Macaca fascicularis: one gene and its partner. The main gene of each other region encodes a partner of the protein of the gene in region 2 in a complex. Links are inferred from orthologs where the notes say so. Each region holds a gene or a part of one and is shown on either strand. Other genes may lie near its edges.

Region 1 (6,894 bases), on a different chromosome or scaffold from region 2:
CAGTTTGCATGTTTTAAAAAATGATCTTTTTATGCTTAAGTCTCCAGGTTTAAAGCAAATAAGATTCACTTAAGTATTAGAAAAATTTTTAGGAATCCCAAAATATAAGTTCCTTTGAAACAAAAACTACTCAATTTTACAAAGCCACCTTGTCTAAATTAAGTGATATTAAAGGTATAATTCATAGGAAGATAGCAAAGTTAAAAAGCAAGAAACAAAACAAAAAAGCAAAGAAAAAGGAAGAATTATGGATTTTAGAATATGGAGACAGATGTGGATTCTAACCATGGTTCCAGTACCTACATTTTGGAAACTCTAGCAATTTAAACTTTTTTTAGTTTAATAAGTAAATTTACTTATTTTCTTGATGTCTTCAGCTATAAAACAGTGTTAATAATACTACCTAGAGGAAATAAAGGTTTTTAGGGCAAAATGAGGTAACATTAGGGAAGAAGAGTCCATTAGAAGTTTCTTCCATGTCTGTATTTTGTCATAATGAACATCGCTTGCAAAAAGCAGGACAGTGATCTCTAAAATGCTGCGTTACACAGCAATTTTGCTGTAAATGAAAGTGATTCCTTTGTCATTTCCATCTAGAAAATTAAACCTGATTTCAGAGACCTCCAAAAAGAACAAACATTTTTCTACAATTTATATTAAAATTCTGTCAATGACTCCTTTGCATATAACCTAAATTGCCTAAGCATTATGGCTCATTTGAAAGTTCTTATATACTTCAATCCAGAAAGCATATCTGGTTTATTCATTTCTCTATTTCTGTCCCCAGAGAAGTGCCGGAAGCATTGTGCATGAATACACTCCTTCATTCATTCAGCAAATATTTACTGAACCCTTATATTGTGCCAGGTACTACGTAAGTAGTGGGGTAGGGTAACACATGACAAATGAGAGGGCCCTGCTCAGGAAGCTCATAGTCCAGTGAGGAGACAATATTTGTCAAATAAATACAGAAATAATTAAGTTTCTATTATCATAATGCCACAAAGGAGTACAGAGTATGGTGAATACATGGCGGGAACCTATTCTGGTTTTGGGAAGGAGGGCAAGGCTCCCCCAAGAAAGAATATTTAAATTGAGATATGAAAACTGACTATCAGGTAGCCACATTTAGGTAGGCCAAGGAGTGAGATGGAATATGCAATGGCCACCAAGTCAGGAAGGAGCTTATGTATGTAGTAACCAAAAGGCATGGTAAATGAGAAAGGCTGGGGATAAGGACGGAGAGTTGGATAGGAGAAGAGATAAATTTTTAGTGTTAAACAGAGTAAGAAAGTAATAGTATTTGAATATTTAAGTCACATTGTCTTTTTCTCATGTAAATCTAAGGGAACTAAGTCTTTACTCCACAATATTAAAGATCTGTAGTCAGAAGATCTCGATTTTTATCTTACTCCCACCAGTTACAAGTCACTTAACCAACCTGAGCTTCTTCATTCTCTTCGTAAATATTACCTTACCTACTGAGACTACAATAATAAACAGCCCCTATTCTTACAGACCTTACATCCTTAAGAGAAAGAGACAGATGTATAATATATGGAAGACATCCCAAGTCCTATAAGAAATTACATCCAAAAGCTGATATAAGGCTCCTGCAAAGCCCAGCATGAGAATAAATGAAGACACTGGTGAGCTGCAAACTACATGTATACACATAACTCCGTGAACTCTTAACTATCCAACGTGCAGAGATCTAAAGTGACAACAATACTGCAGCATGTGATTGAAAGATGATTAAAAACAATACAAACATTAATCCACCATCCCAATAGAAGAAATATCAAAACTATAATTGGCCTCAGACATAGAGTAGTGGCAGAAATGAACCAAGAACAAAATCTAAAATACACTGAACAAATGCATTATATTATTTCCAAAATTTCCTCATAGTTCAAAACCTCTTTCGATAATGACAGAGTTATGTGCCAAAGGTTAGAATTTATTTCATACCTCCTTCAACAAAAGGCAAATACTTACATTGTCATCTAGAAAATACATTAATATTCTTCCTTTACCATCACTGACTCATGTTCAGTTTATGGTCTATTTACACCACCGCACCCTTCTTAATCCAGCACAAAGTCAGTTATCCTCACATAATTTTCCATTTGTTTAACTGGGTCTTCCTTGTCTGTGTACTACATTACTCATGGTACATTATTCCTGATTTTACTTCATTCTATAATAGCATACTTTTTCTATTTTAAAAATCGTATTAATTTCCAGACCATCTTAATTTCAACCATCAGGTAAGAGAATACCTCTACTCCAAAAAAATATTTTTGCATTAAAAAGTTACTATATTGTTGATAATATAGTAACTGCAGAGTACATTCAAAATTCAGCATAGTCTGATGATCAACTTATACATAATACAGTAAGCTATGATTTATTACATGTTAAGAGTAAGCCATGATTTATTACATGCTAACCTTTATGGATATAAAGTTATCACAAAGAAATTCTGGCATCAATGAACATACTCTTACAATTCTATTAAAAACCTATCCAATAATAATAGTCATGAGCTATAACTGGTCATAATAGAGGATAAAATTTGCATAAGGGCACTATTTTCTGCAAGAGATAAAATGTAAGTGTACTGTTTTTTCATTCTTTAATGTAAAGTAAGAATGAATTGAAAGTCACAGATGATTCTAAGAAAAATAAAAATATGTAACAGCCTAATTCTATTATTTGCAGACACACACACAAATACAGCCTAAAGTCAAGAAAATGGGGGAGAAGTAAAATCTCAAACAAAAAAGACGATGTTACCTCCAAGAAATGCAAAGTACTTTCTTTTCTAGTAACGGGCACACTAAACTCTCCTAACATTATTTGAAAAAAGTTTAAAGTTTTGTGAAAGAATTCCAATCCAACTAGTATCAGTTTTACAAAATGAGAGTAAAAATAGTCCTAAAGTAGAAAAAGAAAAGAATGTTCTTCTAAGGATGGATATTAACTGTTGTTCTCCCATCCTATTACCTACCCTTAAAAATGAACTGTGAGAGTAGAGTCTATCATTTAATACATCCCTAAAAAAGAGGGGGAAATCTGTAAAAGTTAACACTGACCCTTTTTTTCCCAAAAGGTTCTTTCCTTTATTGAGGAATTTCACTCCAGTTCAAGAAACAACTTTTCATCTCACAATGGCTTCTTAGATGTACTACATAAAATACATTTACTTTGCAACTTCCTCCACTCTTTTCAAAAAGCACAACCAACGTCCCTACTCCAGAAGCTGAACTCGAACAGGACTAGATTCAGAAAGTCTGTCCCTACGTGTGTGACCTTGGGCACGTCATATAATCCCTCGGTTTCCTCATCAGCATCCCAAAATGAAAGCGCTCTGAAAGCAGTAAAGGAGTAAAAACATACTTGGGTATGACACCTACGAGGGTCAAGCCTTTCTGTTTAAGGCAAAATTACCTCCTTAGAGGGCCACATCATTAAACTGGAACTGAATCCGTAGACCTCAACATTTGTCTCTTCCTTCTTCCAGTGCTCCCCTTCCCTCAAAGGGCATAACCCGAGTCACCCCCGACAGCAGACTGCCCAGCACCCTTTCCTTCCTCCTCCCTTTCTCTTATTTACAAAGCAGGGGGAAAAGAGCAGCCTCACCTCTCCGTGCGAAGCCACACCTTCAAAGGACCCCACCCCAGGCACATCCGCCCTCTCCCCTCTCCCGGGGCACCAGGGGCCAACCTCGCCCTTCCCCTCCCGCCCCCACCTAGAGGAGACTTCCTGGAGGCGTTCGGGCCCAAGCCGGCAGGCGGCATTTACAAACCCGCTTTACGCCACTCGCGTAGGGTAACCTCGCTTACGCCCGTAGGGCCCCGCTCTCAGCCCCGTCCGCTCCGCCTGCCAGAATCAAGCCCGAGTGCCTCAGCCATGGCCCCTGCGTGACCCTAGACCTCTTCTGCTCGGTGCAGAGCTATGGGGACTGGGACAGAACAGCTACACCTTACCAGCAACTGAGGCACTGACTTCACTTCCCACCTTTGCAGCCCTCTTCAACTCCCGGATCAATTCACTCCGGCGACGCCGGAAGGACCCGAGAGGAACCAGGCGTTGTCCGGAATCCTGCCCAGCCGGAGTCGCGCAGAGGCCTATGGGGACTCGTAGTCCCGCTCGCCAACGTTGTCCGGAATTCCTGCACTCGGAAGACTACACTTCCCGGCAGGCCGTGCGGGAGATCCTGAGGCGATGGGTGGGGACACTTCTAGCCAATACTAGGAGAGTTCCCTGCCTTTGCGGGAGGAGGTGAGATGAAGAGAGATGGTGCACGGAAGGGAGAGGAAGGGCGGGGCAAGCCCTCACCTGCGCCAATCAGGGTGCCGGGTAGGCCCCGCAGGCGCCTCACCCATTGAGGGGGCGGGCTGACAGAGCAGAGGAAGGAAGGGGGTGAGGGGCCCGTGGTGGGGATCGTGGGGTTGTCGGGCTGAGTATGCCGTACGGGTGGAGAGGAAGCCTCGGGGAAATCACCCGGGTGAAGGGAGGGCTTGGTGTGGGGACTTGCACAGGGCGGAGGAGCAGCTAAGCCCCGGGCACATCGGGCAACCAGACCCACGCGTCGGGGAGAGATAGGCTGAGCCGGGGCTCCCAGCAGAGACGCCTGGGTGGGGCAGGAGACCGCTCCAGGTGTGAGCCACAGAGGAGGGGAGAGGGACCCCCAGGGGAGGGGAAGTGGCAGAGCAGCTGCAGAAGTGCGGGGAGCGGGAAGGTACACCGGCAGCTGCTTTCCGCTGCCTCCGGCCCGGGCAGCTGCAAAAACAGCAGGGGGAGGAGCAACAGCTGCCAAATTCGCCAACTAGAGGAGGGAGAGGCGGAGCTTGGGTCCCTGTAGAAGCCAGAGGCGCAGTCTGGACTGTAGTTTCCCGGGAGAGACGAAAGCAGGAACGAGAGCGGAGCGGAGCACAGTCCTCCGAGCACCAGCTCCAGCATCCCGTCAGGGGTTGCAGGTGTGTGGGAGGTAAGCGTGGGTCCTTCTTCGGGGCGTCTGCATTGCCCTGGAGAAAACGTGTTCCAATAGGAATTACATCAAGATACAGCTAAAAGAGTCCGCCTTGGGTTAGGAAACCGGTGTAAACCCTCTCGGGTGAAAGATTTACATTTTTGGACTGTAAGGGCAAAAAAGCAAAAAGAAGCTTGACTCTGGGTATAAAGGGCGTGGTTAGTGTTTTTGGTTCGAGTTACACCAGTAAAACTGTTCTGGGGGGATCTCAAGATTGAGAAAAACCCTGCTAATTGAGGACGAGGTGGATGTTATCTGGTGGATGTTATAGGTGCGTAGCGTATAAAAAGCAAAAATTTTGCTATTGATATAGAATGACTTCTGAACTATTTCACTAGGAAGATAACTTTGCGTTCTTCTTCAGTGTCTACCTTTATGTTGGTTTATCAGATTGTTCTGCTACCGACCTGTTATCCAGGGTGGTTATTCTGCAGTTTCATAGAATTGCAAGAAATCCGTATTAAAGAAGCAAATGCAGGCAGGAATAGTCAGGATAGGATGGGCTCTGACTTAATCTATCAAAAGTATAACTTTTGCCAGCAATAATGTAAAAATGAATTTTAATGAATGGATAGTTAGCTTTCTTTCCAGTGGCTCTGGAATATTGGAACAAAGACCTGGATTCAGCCTACAGTGGGAACATATGGTGTACCTCACTGCTGCTCCTTATTCTCTCATTTGTGTCCGATAATATGTGTACATTTTAAAATCAAGAGTACATGGAAAGCTGTGTGGGAATCTTTTCTCTGGGTAGAAAGTATGTGCTGAAGGACTATCCTTAATATGTGTTATGATGGTGGGTTCAGATTTAAAACACATGTAGTGTCACAAAATAATAGTTTATTCTCGGTATTAAACCATATGTGTATTCAAAGCAACGTAATTGTAATACCTATGGATGGAAATATGTTGTAATGCTGGGTAAAGATGAAAGTCTCACCTACCTTTGTGTAATTATGACAAAATTACAGCCTTTTATTTTTAGAGAAGTAGTAAGAAGCTATTTTCCTAGTTCATTTTCATTTTGTTACAGAGGTTCCCAGATTACATGGCTTTTAATCATAGTAGCATATTGCAGCAAATTTTGCTCTGAAATGCTTTCATTGTGACAGTTGTATATTTCAGAGTCTGTCTCAATACTTTAATCTATGTTTTTTTAATAACCAGGGTCAATAAAATGGAGTAATTGCCTTGTTTTCTCCTATTTCTGTGCTCTCCTGAGTTCTCGGGATTTTACATTTTATTTTTGTAATGCATGCCAGATTTCTCTTTGAAAAGAAATGGCTCAAATGAATTCTCTTCCCAGCTTAAAGTTCAGTCCTACTGCGTGCTACTACCGGTAAGCCTAAGTGACTTATCAGTGTATATACTCTTCCCTCCCACACTCTCACATACCATAGAAATATATAGACAGATAGCTCTTAGAAAAACAGCTGCTTTTTGATTATCCCTAGCAGATCAGCTAAGTATCAAAAACAGCAAAGAGCTTAGAAGAAAGAAAAAGCAACAGTAGCTGCTAAACTTAAGCACTGTAAGGATCAGATTTTATCTTTGCTACAGCACTGGAGAATCTATTAATTCACATAGCTGATATGGCCCTGTGAAAATGATGTTGGGGTTAAAAAAAATAAAAGTGGGTATTAGGGTGACACCTGGAAAAGATTGTTTGCCCTTGTTATTTGTGATTAAGTGAATTGTCTTGAATCAGTCTTAGATCCTTTCTCAGACTCTACTACTAATTCGTTTTGTAAAACTGAATAATTGCTGTCTCTGGGTTATTTCCCCCATGTAATAATTATAATACTAGCAATGAAATTCTTTCCGAGCCTTTATTAAAATATCTGTTTGAAAGAGTT
Region 2 (6,794 bases):
CCTCCCAGCCCTGCTGCTGCTCAGCAAACACTGGCAAAAGTGGGAGCACTCAGGGCAACCAAACACACCCAATGATGTCTTTGAATGCATGAAAGTGGAAATACTCTGGTTGATAAGGCCATGGACATAGACCCTGCAGAAGCCTCTCTGTACTCTGAGGACCTGCTTTTCTACCAGCAAGCTTGATTCTGACTTCATAGGAGGAAAATGGGGTAGAGCCTCTGGGCAAGAATGAGAAGCATTCCTCTTTTCTCCATGGTCTCCTCACAGACAGCATCCATTTGCTGTCCCCATCTTGTCCCTATATCTTGGCAATGCCCATGAAACCAAGTCCAATCTCCTTAGCATAGCAAACAATGTTTTATGGGAAAGCAGCTTCTTAACTTTTCTTAGCTTTGATTTCGTCATCTATAAAAGAGGTATTAAATAAGACTACTTCATAGGGTGGAGAGAATTAAATGAGGACCTAGACAAGCTTAACAGGGTGCTAGGCACAGGATAGGTGCTCAGTAATTGTGTGCTAGCATATAGATTATGATATGCTCCCTGCCGATTCCTCCAGCTTCATGTGTCACCAGACCACGCCCATCTTTTCCCACCCCAGGCAGAACTCCAGCAACATTTAATAACGGTTTTTAAAGGTACTTTGCTCTCTCTTCCCCCTCTGGAGTTTTGCATATCAGCTTTTTTGCTTGAAATACCTCCTGTCCTCCTTCCCTAACAATTCCCATATCCTGGCTAACATCTGTTTTTTTAGGACTCAGGTTAGAAGTCATTTCTTCTCCATCTCAAGGTGGATTAGGTGTTTCCATAGCAACCAGTGCTTATCGGTATCAGCACACTTATCTCTCTATAATTGGCTACTTATGTATCTGTATCCTTTATAAGATTTCAAGGCCTTGAAGAGCCAGAACTGTGCCTTATTCTCAGAATTATATCTCAAATGTTGGAAAAGTGCTTCACATATAGAAAACTATGGTCAATATACCTTCCCCCCCATTTTTGTGAAATGCTTACATTCTCTCTTGCATTGTTTTAAAAACTGGCTGGGCAGGCCAGTCACGGTGGCTCACGCCTGTAATCCCAGCACTTTGGGAGGCCAAGGCGGGCGGATCACAAGGTCAGGAGATCGAGACCACGGTGAAACCCCGTCTCTACTAAAAATACAAAAAATTAGCCGGGCGCGGTTGTGGGCGCCTGTAGTCCCAGCTACTCGGGAGGCTGAGGCAGGAGAATGGCGTGAACCCGGGAGGCGGAGCTTGCAGTGAGCCGAGATCGCGCCACTGCACTCCAGCCTGGGCTGGGCGACAGAGCGAGACTCCGTCTCAAAAAAAAAAAAAAAAAAAAAACTGGCTGGGCATATTCCTGAGAAGCTAGAGATTCCTACCCACAACCCTGGGATAACTTACAAGGGACACAGACATCTGCACCTTTCTAGGACAGTTCCCACTCCATAACCCTATCCCAAACTCATGCAGTGGGTGTCTGGATTCCCTGAGGGAGAACAAAGAAAAGGCTGGAAGATGCTCATCAGAACTAAAAGGGCCCTCGCACCCTTCCTTTGAGAGATCGGGCCTGGGAAACACCCAAGACCTGTGGAGAAGTGCTCCTAGCTGCTCACCTGGTAAATATGGTTGAGTTTGAAGTGTTTGAGGAGTAGCAGAAGCAGGGTAGAGATACTCTTTACAATAATCTCCTTGTGCCTGTTCACATCGATGCCCAGCTTCATGCTCTGGAGAACAGTGATGCTACAATGGCGAGAGAAGGTATTAGCGCAGAAAGTGGCCTAAAAGGGAGCCCTGCAGGGATCCAGGTATTTGGGTGTGATATAATATACACAAGAGAACCAGAACTTGGGAAACTTGAACTTCTGTGCCAGGGAAACCTCCAGAGTTCCCACTTATGAGCCTGTCTGAAGAAATGCTCCATTGAGTTCTTTGTTTCTATCTCTCTTTTGGCAAGCTCATCCCTTGGCAATGTTCACCCAAATACCTGGGCAGCCAGTCGCTGACACTGGTGTCACCCTCCAGATCCTGAGTTTTGAGCTAAAAAGAGCAAAGCAGAAAGCCCTGAAGGGGGAAGGGAGTACTGGTGGGCAGAGAGGAGGAGATCTCTTTGGAGACAATCTCTGTAAGTGTTAACAAGGTGAGTGGGGACTAGAGAGAGCCTGCAGACAAGACAGCTAGTATCCAGCAGCTGCCCCCGTTGAAGCACTCACGGCATCTCCTCAGGTAGGACATCTGCCAGGATATTGATAGAGTCTGTCTTAGCCTTGGAGGTGGGAGCTGCAGCCAGCAGAATCTTAAGCAGAGCGATCTGGGAAGTAGAAATAAAGAAATTCACCACTGTCAAATCCACTCAGCAAGGGAGTGATTCTTCTGCACCCTAACTGCCCTATAAAAAGTGTTTTAAAGCCATTCTCCAAGTTCTTCCCTCAATGACCATATCTCCCCAGCGTCCAGAAGAGCAAACAGGTGCCCAGTCCTGAGAGGCCTGCCTGTGAGGCTAAGGAGAAAGCCAGAGGGAGTGCATTGGCTGTTCTGCTTTAAGACTGTTCTTTCCAGGGCCTGGCATGGTGGCTGATGCCTGTAATCCCAGCACTTTTGGAGGCCAAGACAGGCAGATCACTTGAGGTCGAAAGTTCAAGATCAGCCTGGCCAACATGGTAAAACCCCGTCTCTACTAAAAATACAAAAATTAGCTGGTGTGGTGGCGCATGCCTGTAATCCCAGCTATTCGGGAGGCTAAGGCAGGAGAATCACTTGAACCTGGGAGGTGGAGGTTGCAGTGGGCCGAGATCGCACCACTGCACTCCAGTCTGGGCGACAGAGTGAGACTCCACTTAAAAAAAAAAAAAGACTGTTCTTTTCAAAGGGGAGGATGGAAGGAACAGAGTGAGAGGGACAGTGTGTAGAAATAAGGTGGGAGGCATAAGCCCAACTTCTCCCACTCTTTTCTTTCCTCTAACCCGAACCATTGGTATCTTCCCCACTCCCAGCCTGAGGCTATCTAGTACATGACAGACCACAGCAGATCTCAGAGGGACTACAGTACTTATCTCGGAGGAGGGTGGGTCCCCAGTGTATCCTGTAGAGACCCCAACTTATTCCCCACCCTTCCCAAAGAAGGACTAGGGAGAACAGCACCATCAGAGGAGCACTGAGGAAAGCTCAGAATTTTCACGTGTCAGAGAATGCCTTGCCAAAGGCACAAAGGCTCAGAAAACAAGTTCAAGTGTTGGACAGGTCCGCTTGAAATGGTTTTTAGCTGTCTGTTCCTTGTAGCAGAGAAGGGCAGCTCTGGCCTAACCATCTCCTTACCATATACTGAGGGAGGCTGTACAGCATTCCCTGGTAGAGGATTTCACATGGCGTCTCTGGTACCACCTCTTCCCCCTATGGCAAGAAATACATGGTTTGCCAATGCCACTTTCCAGGTGACCAAAGGCTTTATTTTCTTGGTTGTGAGGGGTGACCTGAAAAGAGCACTAAGCTGGGAGTCAGATCTAGGTTTCTACCCTAGCTGTGTTAATGACTCACTGTATGACCTTGGATAAGTCACATTCCTTCTCTGAGTCCTAGTTTTCTCTTCAATAGGACCATCAGGTTGGCCTGGATGACCTCTCAGGACCTGGGAAACTGGAACAGATGCTACAGAAGCACTTCCTATAGTGTTGATCTGAGGCTGAGAACTCTAGAACATTCTGTAAGCCTGGAAGGAGAGGTAGGTGGCTCAATAGTGAGGGTTTAAAAGGAAGTTGGGTAACATATGGCCTGGTGAAATAGGAAGGAATATCAGCAAAGAAGCTTTTAAGTGGATGGAAATGATTTTCTTCCCCTCTCCATTCACCCCTACATCACTTTCTCCTTTCTGACCAGCCCCCTCATATATAACTATCTCTGTCCTATTGATGACATTAACTAAGCCTTTTATCAGAGTGAGGAGGCTGGGGCCTCAGGGACCCAATAGGCTGCTCAGGCCACTGTCATCTTTGACCAATGCAGTTTCCTTCCTCCTACAAGGTCTCTCTATTACAGGGCAAGGGTTCACTACCATGAGACCCTGAGCCAGGGAAGAATAACCAGCCTCCTTCTGTCCCACACAACTCATCTGCTGCTTAAATGGATATAAGTCCTAAATGGACATTCAGCGGAGCCTGGCAATCCTGGCATGTTTGCCTTCCTGCTCTCCAAAAGGCCGATTTCAAACCATCTTCCCTCTCCTCAAACCAACTCCTTTGCCCACCATGCCTAAACAGTTGCTGATCCTGCCTCACGCTTCATGGAGAAAACAGAAGCACTCAGACAGGCACACACTCATCTTCTCAACACTACATCTACAAAGAGTCTTATTCCTTCCTTCTTAACATGAAGGATGAACCGCCTGTGCTCGAACAAAGGCCAGTCTCCTACTTGTGCTCAGGATCCCACACCCATTTGCTTTGTTGAATGCCTCAGTCCTGCAATTATCCCCTCTTGGATCATTTATTTTAGGACAAAAAAAAATGTTCTAGTATCTCTCAGCTATAAAACATCCTCCCCTTGACCTCACATTCTCCTTCAGCTACCATCCACTTTCTCTCCTCTTCACAAAACTTTTATATCATCTACCTCCTTTTTTGACATTCCCTTCAATACATACCAATTAGGCTTTCAGTCCCACTACTTCACTTACAGTTGCTCTTATCAAGGTCATTATCTTCATGTTGCCAAATCCAATGGGCACCTTGGTTCTTACCATAATGCCACTTATTAGTAGCATTTTACCCAGCAGATCACTCCTTTTTTCTTGAAAGACTTTCTTAGCTTTTATGATATCATAATCTCCTGGATTTCCAGCCACTTCACTGTCTTTCGTACTCTTCTGGCTCCTTTCCTGACACATGCCCACCTCAACATACTGGTGTGCCCCAGGACTTTGTCCTGCCTTCCATTCTCTTCTGTCTCTACTCCCTCCCTGGGTTATCTCAGTCAGTTCTATGGCCTTTAACACTGCCTATAAGTGTTACAAACAACTTCCGAATTTATTTCTCAAAGTCAGCCCTCTCCCTAGAATTTTAGACTTGTATTTCCAATTGCCTGCAGCTCCACATGGGTATCTAATGGGCATCTAAAACTTAGTATGACCAAAACAGAACTCTTGATATTCCCCCCACATCCTGGCAAATGGTACTTATTCTTGATTCCTTTCTTTGCCTCTCTAACCACATCTAAATGCACTGCAAGTCTTGTCAGCTACATCTCCAAATCCAGGTCGGCATCATCTCTCACCTTGACTATTTCAAGGGTTTCCTAACTAATCTCCCTGGAGTGGGTCTACACTTTTCTGGTCCAATCTTTACACAGAAGCTAATGTTTTTAGAAACATAAATCAGATCATATCACTCCCCTGCTTAAAATCTCCAAAGGCTTCCTTCCCTTTGACTGTGAGTCTACTTCAAGCTCTCTACTTTTGCTTACAGGCTCTTGGCAAAGTGGCCTTAGGCCACCTCTCTGACTCTATCTGTAGGATCCCGGCCCTCGGCCCTGTGTTCTAGCCACAAGAGCCTTCTTTCACTACCTCTGACACTCTAAACCTGCTTTCCCCTTGCTAAGGCTGTTCTCTCTGTTTGGAATGCTCTTTCCTCTGATGTTCCTATGGCTGGCTCCCTGTCCCTCAGATCTTGGCTTAAATGTCACCTTCTCAGAGGTCCACCTACTGGCTGCCCAATCTTAGTAGTCTACCAATGCTTCTTTCATGTTATCCTGTTTAAATTTTCTTCATTGTATTTACCATTCTTTGATAGTTTGGTTTACTTAACTTTTTGTTTTTTATCTTTCTTCCTCAACTTCAATATATCATGAAAGTAGGGACCTTGTCTTGCCTGGAACACAGTTAGAGCCTAATATGCTGAAATGAATGCATGCACACATGCTCTGTGACAACACTGAAGACAGATTTTCTTCTACTCTTCTCCTGTGCAGGACCTCCTTGGCTCACCAAAGACATAGGGCACTTCTCCAGCTCCTCTTCATTCTTGATCTGCACATCTGCGATGGAGATATACTTGTGCTGACAAAGATAAGAAGACATCAACAAGGGCTGAGGGCCTCATTCACATGTGTACCAATCTCTTACTTAAATTCCCCAAAAGCAAGGAAATGTTCTGCTTATGCGTTTGTCACCCCACATAGACATGAACTCTTTCAAGGCAGGAGTCTTAATCACCTCCGCATTATCAGCACCAGTCAAAGTGCTTTGTGCACAGTGTTTCTGTTTATTCTGTTTCTACATTCGCGGAAGAGCAGCAAATACGTAAGCATTTATCTTCAAACAAAGTGGAAGGGGAAGCCAGAAACAGGCCCCTGCCCCTGGACCACTGCCCTAAGAGTTTTGATGCGTGTGCATGTATGCACGGAGTGATGACTCCATGCATACAATGGATATAGAGCAGGCTCCTATTCAATCCTGGGCCTTTGGAAGTCAGTGGACTTATGGAGAGAGAGAAGTGAAAGGAAAAGAAGCAAGGAATGGGAAGAGAGAGAGAAGAATGGGAAGAGGAAAAAGAAATGAGAGGAAGAAAGGAGAATTTTAAAATCTACCTGAATATGGGAAACTGAGTAAGTAAAGAGAGACCTAAGTTTTCCTAACCGGCCAGAGGACTGCAGGGGGAATACAGAAGGTCCAGAAAGAGTCTGGTATAAAAGCCCCACCCGGGCTGGGCGCGGTGGCTCACGCCTGTAATCCCAGCACTTTGGGAGGCTGAGGCGGGCAGATCACAAGGTCAGGAGATCGAGACCATCCTGGCTAACACA

Evidence for each region.
Region 1: STRIP2 (region 2) and PDCD10 share a complex: the UniProt entries of both Homo sapiens proteins name them as parts of the core of STRIPAK complex. The link is inferred for Macaca fascicularis from reciprocal best matches to the Homo sapiens genes STRIP2 and PDCD10.

The regions. Positions count from the first base shown.
Region 1 is NC_088376.1:79,122,277-79,129,170, forward strand, and holds the start of PDCD10 (programmed cell death protein 10), read right to left. Parts: upstream 4,081-6,894; 5' UTR 3,454-4,080; intron 1-3,453. UniProt on the Homo sapiens protein: Promotes cell proliferation. Modulates apoptotic pathways. Increases mitogen-activated protein kinase activity and STK26 activity. Important for cell migration, and for normal structure and assembly of the Golgi complex.
Region 2 is NC_088377.1:170,929,716-170,936,509, reverse strand, and holds part of STRIP2 (striatin-interacting protein 2), read right to left. Parts: intron 6,052-6,794; coding exon 5,980-6,051; intron 3,396-5,979; coding exon 3,321-3,395; intron 2,317-3,320; coding exon 2,219-2,316; intron 1,749-2,218; coding exon 1,622-1,748; intron 1-1,621. UniProt on the Homo sapiens protein: Plays a role in the regulation of cell morphology and cytoskeletal organization. Required in the control of cell shape. Calmodulin-binding scaffolding protein which is the center of the striatin-interacting phosphatase and kinase (STRIPAK) complexes.